Saccharomyces cerevisiae S288C: one gene and its partners. The main gene of each other region encodes a partner of the protein of the gene in region 2 in a complex. Each region holds a gene or a part of one and is shown on either strand. Other genes may lie near its edges. A codon is read from its position in the direction of its gene.

The links. The genes of interacting proteins can lie anywhere in the genome.
Region 1: the proteins of RPN10 (region 2) and RPN9 are in contact, whole or in part, in a cryo-EM structure (PDB 5MPD), measured with the Saccharomyces cerevisiae proteins. Residues at the interface, in NP_012070.3 of Saccharomyces cerevisiae: Glu14 (codon at 1,596), Tyr15 (codon at 1,593), Arg17 (codon at 1,587), Asn18 (codon at 1,584), Gly19 (codon at 1,581), Asp20 (codon at 1,578), Pro22 (codon at 1,572), Arg23 (codon at 1,569), Thr24 (codon at 1,566), Phe26 (codon at 1,560), Glu27 (codon at 1,557), His77 (codon at 1,407), Thr79 (codon at 1,401), Ile81 (codon at 1,395), Glu82 (codon at 1,392), Glu148 (codon at 1,194); in NP_010715.3 of Saccharomyces cerevisiae: Glu35 (codon at 1,580), Lys36 (codon at 1,577), Leu37 (codon at 1,574), Trp38 (codon at 1,571), Phe39 (codon at 1,568), Gln40 (codon at 1,565), Ser42 (codon at 1,559), Lys72 (codon at 1,469), Ile73 (codon at 1,466), Asn74 (codon at 1,463), Asn116 (codon at 1,337), Asn117 (codon at 1,334), Gly118 (codon at 1,331), Ser119 (codon at 1,328), Lys120 (codon at 1,325).
Region 3: the proteins of RPN10 (region 2) and RPN8 are in contact, whole or in part, in a cryo-EM structure (PDB 5MPD), measured with the Saccharomyces cerevisiae proteins. Residues at the interface, in NP_012070.3 of Saccharomyces cerevisiae: Asn58 (codon at 1,464), Val61 (codon at 1,455), Leu62 (codon at 1,452), Ser63 (codon at 1,449), Thr64 (codon at 1,446), Lys71 (codon at 1,425), Gln92 (codon at 1,362), Ile93 (codon at 1,359), Leu96 (codon at 1,350), Thr97 (codon at 1,347), Lys99 (codon at 1,341), His100 (codon at 1,338), Glu124 (codon at 1,266), Arg127 (codon at 1,257); in NP_014904.3 of Saccharomyces cerevisiae: Pro55 (codon at 2,020), Glu57 (codon at 2,026), Lys61 (codon at 2,038), Asn62 (codon at 2,041), Asp64 (codon at 2,047), Val65 (codon at 2,050), Trp66 (codon at 2,053), Phe67 (codon at 2,056), Leu68 (codon at 2,059), Asp69 (codon at 2,062), His70 (codon at 2,065), Asn71 (codon at 2,068).

Annotation. Positions count from the first base shown.
Region 1 is NC_001136.10:1,320,592-1,323,886, reverse strand, and holds RPN9 (proteasome regulatory particle lid subunit RPN9), read right to left. Parts: upstream 1,683-3,295; coding exon 501-1,682; downstream 1-500. Other genes in the region: BNA7 (arylformamidase), read left to right, coding at 1-433; SNX41 (Snx41p), read right to left, coding at 1,946-3,295. UniProt on the Saccharomyces cerevisiae protein: Acts as a regulatory subunit of the 26S proteasome which is involved in the ATP-dependent degradation of ubiquitinated proteins.
Region 2 is NC_001140.6:496,928-500,713, reverse strand, and holds RPN10 (proteasome regulatory particle base subunit RPN10), read right to left. Parts: upstream 1,636-3,786; coding exon 829-1,635; downstream 1-828. Other genes in the region: PPX1 (exopolyphosphatase), read left to right, coding at 1-764; NBL1 (borealin), read left to right, coding at 1,855-1,927, 1,995-2,143; AIM46 (Aim46p), read left to right, coding at 2,292-3,224; AIM18 (Aim18p), read left to right, coding at 3,434-3,786. UniProt on the Saccharomyces cerevisiae protein: Multiubiquitin binding protein.
Region 3 is NC_001147.6:815,415-818,788, reverse strand, and holds RPN8 (proteasome regulatory particle lid subunit RPN8), read left to right. Parts: upstream 1-1,857; coding exon 1,858-2,874; downstream 2,875-3,374. Other genes in the region: GTPase GPN2, read right to left, coding at 454-1,497; GCD1 (translation initiation factor eIF2B subunit gamma), read right to left, coding at 3,069-3,374. UniProt on the Saccharomyces cerevisiae protein: Acts as a regulatory subunit of the 26S proteasome which is involved in the ATP-dependent degradation of ubiquitinated proteins.

The DNA.
Region 1 (3,295 bases), on a different chromosome or scaffold from region 2:
GATATTAGCTGCACTCAAAGATCCTCAAGAAAAAATGAGTGAAGCGCAATTGCAAATGTTGGGACTTTTGCAGATCGTGAAGAGAGTATTTCTATTGGATGGTATATACTCGTTAAAGGAACTGTTGGTAGAATACCCAGAGTATGATTGTTTTACAAGACTTGCCTTCCCTGATGGTATTCAAATGTACGAGGAAGAGCCCTCGAGAGTAATGCCTTACGTGAAGAAAGCCCTTTCTCGCTTCAGTATTGATATGCACCTAGTGCATTCTTATAGCGACGAGTTATTAACGTTAAGACAAACTAATTGTTTAATTTCTTGTCTTCAGGATTATCAGTTAAGTTTCAAGTTGTATTTGGACGATTTGGGTTTGCATAATGATGTTTATAAGAATGGTAAAGTTGCGAAGTATATTTTTGACAATATTTGTTGATAGTTGATTTTATTTCTGCATTTATATATATGTGTGCGTGTGTGTTTTATATATAACTGCCAATGGCCTAAACCCAGATGGATTGGCCACGAGCTTCCATTTTTTTGCCCAGTTTTTCTACTTGATCGTTCCATTCAACCAGTCTGTCCTTCATCTTTGTAATTTGGTCACCACTTATGATTCTTGGTTGGACCCAGGAGATGGTAACGAGTTCATTTACTTGGTCAATAGAACCCTTTAATAGACCCAAACTTATGGCTCTCATGACCAGGTGTTCGACATTATCCTTTGGTAGGTGTGTAGCCTTTGAAATATCTTCAAATGAAAGCATCCTAATATTTTTGACAAAAACTGTTTCAATTAATGTCATTAGGCAAATTTTTTGTCGTAAAAATGATTCATGTTGAGCCAATATAGGAATCTTTGATATTTGAACTTTTATCAATGAGTCGAATTTATCAAAATCACCAACGGTTAGAGCATTTAATAATTGGAAAAGCCAATCGTAATTGGAATCGTTGACTATAGTTTCCATTATTGGATGGTGTAATAGTTCGCCAAAATTATAGATTTTGTCACCTAACAATGCTGAGATACTCAAATCATAGGCCAATTGTTGACGTTCGGCTAAAGTAATGCTTGTAGATGGTTCTAAGGTAGAAAGGTATAATAGACTTGTGTAGTAGAAAGAATTGAAATCATTTTTAAATTTAAAATACTGGGAATTTGTAGAATAGAAGCTGTTTGTTATCCTTAATGGAATGGAATCCTTTTTATCCAATGTCTTTTCCAAATCATCTAATAAATCTCTTGCCTTAACGAGGTCGTTCTTTAACAGGTAAGTTCTAGCAATTTCGCTATCTATCAACAAAATACCATCACCATGGTCTTTTGATCCATTATTTCTTTGTTTTTTAGAGTCCAATTCTTGAAATTGAGCCTTCAAATCATCCAAATATTTTAAAGACTCATCGAAATCCTTAGAATCCTTCAAAGAGGCAAGTAGATACTTTACTACTGACAATTGGTTGATTTTATCATAAAATTTAGAAACGAAGTTATCATATAATCTGAGCCTCAATGGTGTAGATTTAGCATCATCAAAAAATTTAGTCAAGGATTCGGACAATTGGAACCACAATTTCTCTTCATAAAATTTCTCAAATTGTTCGAATAAAGGATGCAAAGAGGGATCTGCCTCCATGCGGAGAGTGCTTAATATGGTGTCAATTTCATGATTATTAAACATCTTGCGAAATATAATGTGGTTTCCTCGCGTGTGCCCACTGTTTGCTTTTTGGTACTTAATAGTTTCTTCAATCTAGGTCTAGCTTTTATTTGTTCTTACTTTTGCCACCGGATGAAAGCGGGGAGCGGGTAAGAATGAAAATGATAATAATAGGATAAATGAATGTGTGTATTCAAATTTTTCTAACGTATACGTTATATGTATATATATATATATATATATGTATATGCTATTTGCAACACGATGCGTGACGGTAATGCTTTTTATAGGGCCTCGTCGATTTGTAACTTTGCCAGTTTCCAATTCTTCAGACATTCTTTGATCCATGCTTTGAAGCTAGCTGCGAAAAGTTTCAAGATCTTTCCAATGGTCAAATTAATATGGTTATATGTATGCATTAAGCTGTTGTATGACGAATTGTTAATTTCTAGCATGTCTGATATACAGATTGATAGACAATCTTTCAATTTGGATAAATCTTGGTTCAACTGTTTGATCTGTTTAGATCTTTCTTGTTCAGTCAATTGTTTGATTTCTAATTTATTGAGATTCATTGTTGGCGTAGACGTTTTATAGTTTAGTTTACTTGCGCCTATATGAATTTCGTTTTGGTGTCCACTGGAGCTTGAATTTGAACTTGACTTCGATAGCGATCTTACGTCCTTTTTAACAAATGTCAGGTCAGCAGCCTTTGTATCTTTGTAATTTTCATCTGTCAATATAGTCGACCGCGTTAAACTTTCATTAATCTTCTGCAGTTGGTTTTCAATCTCAGTGAGACTCGAAAGTTTCGTTTCTTTTTCGATAATTAGCCTCTCTAATATTTTAAATTGCAAAAACTTTAATTTCTTGAAATTTAGAACTTTGAATGACTCATTTAAGAACTGCAATAACTCATTAATGGGGTCCTCAAGAATAGAGGTGTACTTTTCTATTAAGATCTCGGAAGAAATGTATATAACATCGAATGAATGGCCTGTCTTTTCAATATGACTAATAATTTCCATCATTGGGTTGTTTGAATTGTTTTCAGATTCGCGAAGGCTGTTGGGCATGGTTATGTCATTTTCCAAACTAAAAGCATTATAATATGCGCCTAATTCAGCAAAATACGTGGACAAGGAGTGGAAATGAGATTTATTTGATCTTATGTTTTTTAATAAATGGGTGATTATTCGCTTATAATTTTGGAATAAATTTTCAATATGTGTAAATTGAGATTCGTTTTGTAAAATTTCTGTTGGGAGGTTGGAAATTTCATTATGACTTTTTACTGTGATGTGTTGTTGCCAAATCGAATTATAGTTTCTCAGAGACGAGTTGGATGGAATAGGTAAAATAGAATGAAGGGGGCTTGGTTTTGTTGGGCTTAAAGGTGGAGCTAAAAGGTTATTCAAAGGTAGTATGATTATCGGCGACGAACTTAAAACATCTTTCCAATTAAATTCAGGGTTTAGAAATTTTTGAAAAACAATATCGTTGCTTATTTCTTGAATGTTCAGACAGTTAGACAAGAATGAATTGAGCATTTTCTTCCTGGTGGAGATAATTTTGGAATCATTTGCTGCGTTTATGGGACTCCATATGTATTTGAGAAGAGAATGCTTGGATGG
Region 2 (3,786 bases):
GCATTATAGACCACCATTTTGACTTGCAAAAACATTTGGATGCTGAACCTCGGATTGTAAAAGTGTCCGGCAGTTGCTCATCGCTGGTTTTTAACTACTGGTATGAAAAATTGCAAGGTGACCGTGAAGTGGTGATGAACATTGCACCACTTTTGATGGGGGCCATCTTAATAGACACTTCAAATATGAGGCGCAAAGTCGAGGAAAGTGATAAATTAGCTATCGAGAGATGCCAAGCTGTTCTTAGTGGTGCGGTTAATGAAGTGTCTGCGCAAGGTTTAGAGGACAGCAGTGAGTTTTATAAAGAGATAAAATCAAGAAAGAACGATATTAAAGGATTTTCGGTAAGCGATATTCTAAAGAAGGACTACAAACAATTCAATTTCCAAGGAAAGGGACACAAAGGGTTAGAGATTGGTCTTTCATCAATAGTAAAAAGAATGTCTTGGCTATTCAATGAACACGGTGGTGAAGCAGATTTCGTCAACCAATGCAGAAGATTTCAGGCGGAGAGGGGGCTCGATGTATTGGTTCTGTTGACTTCATGGAGGAAAGCTGGTGATTCACACAGAGAATTGGTCATATTGGGAGACTCTAACGTGGTACGTGAACTCATTGAAAGGGTTAGCGACAAGCTCCAACTTCAATTATTTGGGGGCAATCTTGATGGAGGTGTGGCGATGTTTAAGCAACTGAACGTCGAGGCCACCAGAAAGCAAGTCGTCCCCTATTTAGAGGAAGCGTACTCAAACCTGGAAGAGTGAAGGGAGATGTTATATATGCTTTATTTGGTTTATATATGACCCATATAGATATTTTTGTACACTACTATTTGTCTTGGTGTTGTTCAGGCTGTTCAGACTGCTCAGGCTGATCTTGTTGTTGTTGCTGCTGTCTTAACCTTTCCTGTCTTTGCTGCTCTTCTTCCATAGACAGACGCAAGGCCATTGCCAGTTCTGGGTCCATTGATGGGTCTACCCCGAAGTCCATAAATGTGCCATTGGCATCGGAATCACCGCCAGACCCACCAAAGGCGCCCATACCGGAGGATCCTTCTTCGAGAATTATGGGTGAAGATGCGATGTTCTCGTACAGCAGTCTGGGGCCAGGCGTCACAGTAAGCAAATGACTAGTTTCTTCTTGAGGGTTGTTCACTGCAGCTATGAACTCATCCAAAAGCTCCGTGTTCTGTTCAATCTCTCCAAAATTGATGATGTCCACGGCAACATTATTCTTTTTCAGTGTTTTTGCCAATCTGATCAATTCGTCTCGAGAATCACTTATTGGGCTACACACAAATGCCACAATCCTTTGATGTTGGACCTTATTCTGGCGATGCTTCAAAGTCAGCTGAGCGATCTGCAACGCAGTGGCCATATGCAGCTTACCCTCGATCTGCGTGTCGTGTAGTCCAGCAAGAATCTTCCCAAACTCGGCGGTAAACGTAGATAACACCCTGGGGTTGGCGCCAGCACCAGAGATAAGACCCACTGTATTCTCAGGATTGCTGTTTCTCTTGGCTTGAAATATGAACTCTACCGAGTCGATCTGGGCTTCAAACCTTGTCCTAGGAAAGTCGCCATTGCGAGAGTACTCTGAATTATCAATCACTAACACTGTAGCTTCCAATACCATTGTGCGGTTACTGCTGAGTTATTTATTGACTTTTCCCTTCTTTCTTTACGCTTTAAAAGTCTGATATAAGTGTGTATTTAGTTGTAAATTCCGGTGGCGAAAACCCGCCTGGCGGAAATAACCCGGCAGCTATAATGCCATATAACTTCAAGAGAATACAATTGTAAACAAGAAGTGGCAACAACATCAGCAAAAGGGCAGCTGCCGCACTCGGTTACGATGATACCGGCTCTCACTCCCGAAGAACGGCAGAAGTTGCGCAGCGCAATACTACATCGAATGCAGCTGGAACGTATGTCACCTCACCGCAACACTCTACCCCCAACCTTCACCCGCACTAATTACTAACACAACCTCAGTGGAAACAACAGAAAAACTGATCGAAAATATTAAAGAGGAGACGTTAAAGAAACTAAATCTGCTCCAGCAGCCTGATGCAACATCAGCGCCTCAATCAAAGGAACTAATCAGAGAGGTGCTTGAACAGGAAGGACGCCGTATAGAATGATTAGTTCGTATAATGGACCCTTTCTCGGTATTCGCAATGATGCACCTATTACTAATCAGCGGCCGATTTGTTGGTATTAAAGCAGCGTGTGGTTACATCCCCTTGTTGAATACATGTCTACTTAGCAGAAGGCCAGGTATATGGAAACATGCGTTTAATCAGTAAAGTTTTGGTGAAAACAAATTGCCTAGAGGTAGGTATGAGGAGGGCCCCACAATGGTATTCTCACTACTCTACTACAGCGGGCAATGCTCGTGTGAACAAGAAGGGCAGCAAAGTAGTGCCTGTGTTAACAGGGTTAGCACTGGCATCCATATTCGCGAAGAAATGGTATGACGATTCCCAGATCAAAAAGGCGGATGCCACCAGCGTTGCAGTGGACGCATCCATCTCTGCGTTCCCTAAGAAGATGGGCCCCCCACAGTGGCCCTTCTCCACGCAATATGAGCTGATTGGTAAGGGTGTACGTTGTGTCTCATCGATCACTTTCAAAGCATATGGTCTGGGCATATATGTGGCCGCTGAAGACAAACATCTGGTCTCTGAAGTACTGGACTCAAAGTTCCTGTCTCAGGCGTTCATCGACACTGCGGCACCCCCATCACCGGAAAACTCACATCAGGATAATTTGCGTGCGGCTTTGAACGATCCTGCTAAGGCCCCTATCCTGATTAATAACCTCTTAGACAGCGGAATCAGACTAATGTCCAAGAATACTCCGATAAAAGCAGGTTCCTTCAAGTTATTGATGGACGGCACCAAAAAGAGCGTCCTAAAGAACCCAGATTCTCAGTCTCAAGACAAAGACCGGCTGGAAGCTGGATTCCAAGAATTGCATGACTGTTTCAGGAGCGTAAAAGGACTTGTGGCTCGAGATGATGATTTTTTCATTGAGCTGAATAAGGACTGCTCTATGAATTTGTCTTACTACGCAAGAAAGAAGGATGAATTTGTGATATTGGGCACAGTGAAGGAACCCCTTATTGGAAAGCTCTTATTTGCCCACTACCTAGCTGCTGTGGATCCTCCTTCTCCGGAGGCTAGGAAGGAAGTAATCGATGCACTCGTCTCTCTATCTTAGGACACTTTCGCCGACTTCTACATACAATTACATAATACATACGCTGTTCCAAAAGCTGCACATATACTCTAATGATGTTTTTTTGAGTTTCCTTTCGACTCAATTTTTCTAGGAGGGACCCCTCAAAATGTTTACAATGCTATTCGGTTTTGACAAGAAAAAATCAATTCAAAACTCTTACGGCGTTACAACCGCGATAGAATCCCTTCATGGACAGAGGAAGGTGCGCCAATATGCTAAAATCACTCCAGCGAACACTAGCTAAATGTCAGAAATCTCCATCAACCAACCATTGGCAATGTTTCAAAAGAAATTTTACTAGTATACGAGCCACTAAATACCCTGGGCGTTCTAATTCGACGTTCCACTATTGGCCCTGGTTTGCGGCGTCAACATTGCTCGCTACTTCGTTATACTACCGTGATCGTCCGGTACAAAATGACGATAAAACTGATGCTTTTCCTTCTCATACTGAATCGATACAGGTAGACTCTAGCGTATCAGATTTCCCACTAACGATTACTGCTTTAAATTTCCCTGTCTCTACAACTTTTAAATTACT
Region 3 (3,374 bases), on a different chromosome or scaffold from region 2:
TTGAATATGAAAACTTCATCAATATAGAGTAGCAAACCATTTTTACAACATTTTATATCACGATCTGCGCAAAAACCTTAGAATCCCCGCACAGCTGCCCAATGACAGATATAGGCAACGTTGTTGGTGCTAATCATTTTTAACTTGTTCTTTTTCCTCCTAGAAACCCATTGACAGTTTGCTGGTTATTTTTTTCTTCTTCCGCTTTTGCTGTCGCCGCGAATGAGTGAAGGCTGGTCAACCTGGTTAATTAGTAGCGCTGGCTTTCAGGGTACGAAAGCAATCATGTTCAGACATAGGGTTCTGTCCTTTGCAGCTGATTTGCAACTCGGCCAGCAATTCAAGAACATTTCGTAGTAAGCTGCTTTCAATTATATGCATATATACTCTGTATACAATTTTCAATTTTGAATTAAGTTCCACGGCTGAACGAGAAAAAGATACCTGAACACGCTACCTAACAAAATCCATTCCTTGTTTCTCTTCCCACTCCTTCAGCGCATTTTCCCACTCATCTTCTTCATTCACATCAACAGCTTTATTTTGCAATTCTTGTTCTTTTAACAACGCCGTACGTTTTTCTTCTTCTTCTTTATCATACTTCTCTTTATTGTCTATCCACCTGTCTTGAATGTCGTAATTCGCTATTAATGCACCTTCTCGCGAAGCCTCAGCCCACACGGTATCACCACCAACTTCGGATGCGCCGAATATGTAGCCATTTGCTTTATCTATAACACCTTGAAGATTTATCATACTTTCTTTGTCATCCACGGACAAAACCTCAAATGATACTAAGTTGAAATCTGAGACTAGCTCTTTGATTGTTTCAGTTAACTTGCTATATTTCTTTCCCAGTACACTAGAGCCTTCCTTTTCAATATATGGCTCCAAATAATCCAGATCCTGGACCTCTGTATAATAGTCTAATCTAAAGGGTAATTCTCCGTATGATTTCAGCATATCTATTTTAGAAAAAACGTTGATGTGAGGGAGATCCATCATTAACATAGACCTCAATGCAAGTAACAAAATCGAGATATATTGTGAAGGGGATGTCATGTAAAAACAGTCAATCAAATTTACAACACAAAACCTAATGTCCAATTCCTTTTCCATTTTTTTAAAGATGTTGAACAAAGATGAGTGATGAGTAAATAGCTCCACTTGGCCCGGACAGTCGAATACAAGATATGCTTTTTCTTCTTCTACAAGTGACTTGATCTGTAAAATGAACAAATCAATAGAATTATCCAATGATTCAACAGCATACATCAAACCTCCATTAGGGCCTAACTGTTGCTCTTGCATGATCTCCTCTAATGTTATAAAATCACGAATATCCACAGCGCATGGGTAAGGTAAGGCATCATTAGCAGGATCCATATTCACTACCTGGGAATGTCTTCCGATGGCATTGAAGAACTGTGAGCAGCCGTTGCAATAGGTTGACTTCCCTGAACCTGGTGGACCAATAACAATCTGAGCGAAGGGCATTATTGTACTCTCTAGTAGAAAATCAAAACTATTGACACAACAACAATCAAATGAAAACAAACCATTCTATTACGGTAAGTAGTGAAGACTCACAATGCAATCTTTCAATGAGCATCACTTACTTTAAGTAGCAATATTCCTAATCACTTATTACGAAATTTGATTTTACTAAAGTTCGGGGATACCTCAGTGGCAAATCGTTACTCAAGTTGCACGTAACGTAGAATCTACAATGAAATAATTGTGAAGCCAACAGCTAAGCAATCTATAGTGTAACGTTGGCTTTCTGTACAACTGCTACTGATTGAGGGCATTTTTCGAATTTAAAAAAAGAAAGAAAGAAAGGAAAATCAAATTACAATGTCTCTACAACACGAGAAAGTTACCATTGCACCACTAGTTTTGCTATCTGCTTTGGATCATTATGAGCGTACGCAGACAAAAGAAAACAAAAGATGCGTTGGTGTCATCTTAGGTGATGCTAACAGTTCCACTATCAGAGTCACTAATTCCTTTGCCTTACCGTTTGAAGAAGATGAGAAAAACTCTGACGTGTGGTTTTTAGACCATAATTATATTGAAAACATGAATGAAATGTGTAAAAAGATTAATGCCAAGGAAAAACTCATTGGATGGTATCATAGTGGTCCTAAATTAAGGGCTTCTGACCTCAAGATTAATGAGCTGTTTAAAAAATATACTCAGAATAATCCGCTATTATTAATTGTTGATGTCAAACAACAAGGTGTTGGTTTACCAACAGATGCATATGTCGCGATTGAGCAAGTTAAGGATGATGGTACGTCTACAGAAAAGACGTTTCTTCATTTGCCTTGTACTATTGAGGCCGAAGAAGCTGAAGAAATTGGTGTAGAACACTTATTGAGAGACGTACGTGATCAAGCAGCAGGTGGCTTATCTATCCGGTTGACCAACCAATTAAAATCTTTGAAAGGATTACAAAGCAAACTAAAAGACGTTGTCGAGTACTTAGACAAAGTCATTAATAAGGAATTACCGATAAACCACACTATATTGGGCAAGCTACAAGATGTTTTCAACCTTTTACCAAATCTGGGAACACCTGATGATGACGAAATAGATGTGGAGAATCATGACAGAATTAATATTTCAAATAACTTACAAAAGGCTTTAACTGTGAAAACTAATGATGAATTAATGGTTATATATATAAGCAATTTGGTTAGGTCAATTATCGCGTTTGATGATTTGATTGAAAACAAAATTCAAAATAAAAAAATTCAAGAACAAAGAGTAAAGGACAAACAATCAAAAGTCTCTGATGACAGTGAGAGTGAGAGTGGTGACAAAGAAGCAACTGCGCCATTGATCCAACGAAAGAACAAGAAAAATTAATTCAAAAATTAACATAACATAATATATGAAATAGATGTGTAAAACGCTATGTATTAATACAACATGTTAATTTGCTTAAGCATAATTATGTTCTGTTGAATTTCAAATATAAATGCATAATATCGCCTCTATTCTCGTCCACTTACTTACTTGGTCTCTATTAAAGAGACTGAAGGAATATACATAAGTTTATATTAACGCTCAAATAATCCGTCATCTTCGTACTCGTACTCGTCGGTATATTCACTATCATCAGAATCTTCATCGCTTCTATCATCACTGTCAGTTTCTTCGGCGATTTCACTTTCTCCAGCAATAACACTATCATCATATATTAACTCGTCCTCCTCATCTTCATCCAAATAAACGTTGGCCAGTGTTTCACCTTTAAAGTTATTTTTAGGCTCCACAACATAATGGCCTTCGATATAACAATTGCTGAGTTTACACTTTGAACCGATTTTTGCCATAGGTCCAATAATACAATTTTCCAGGATTAC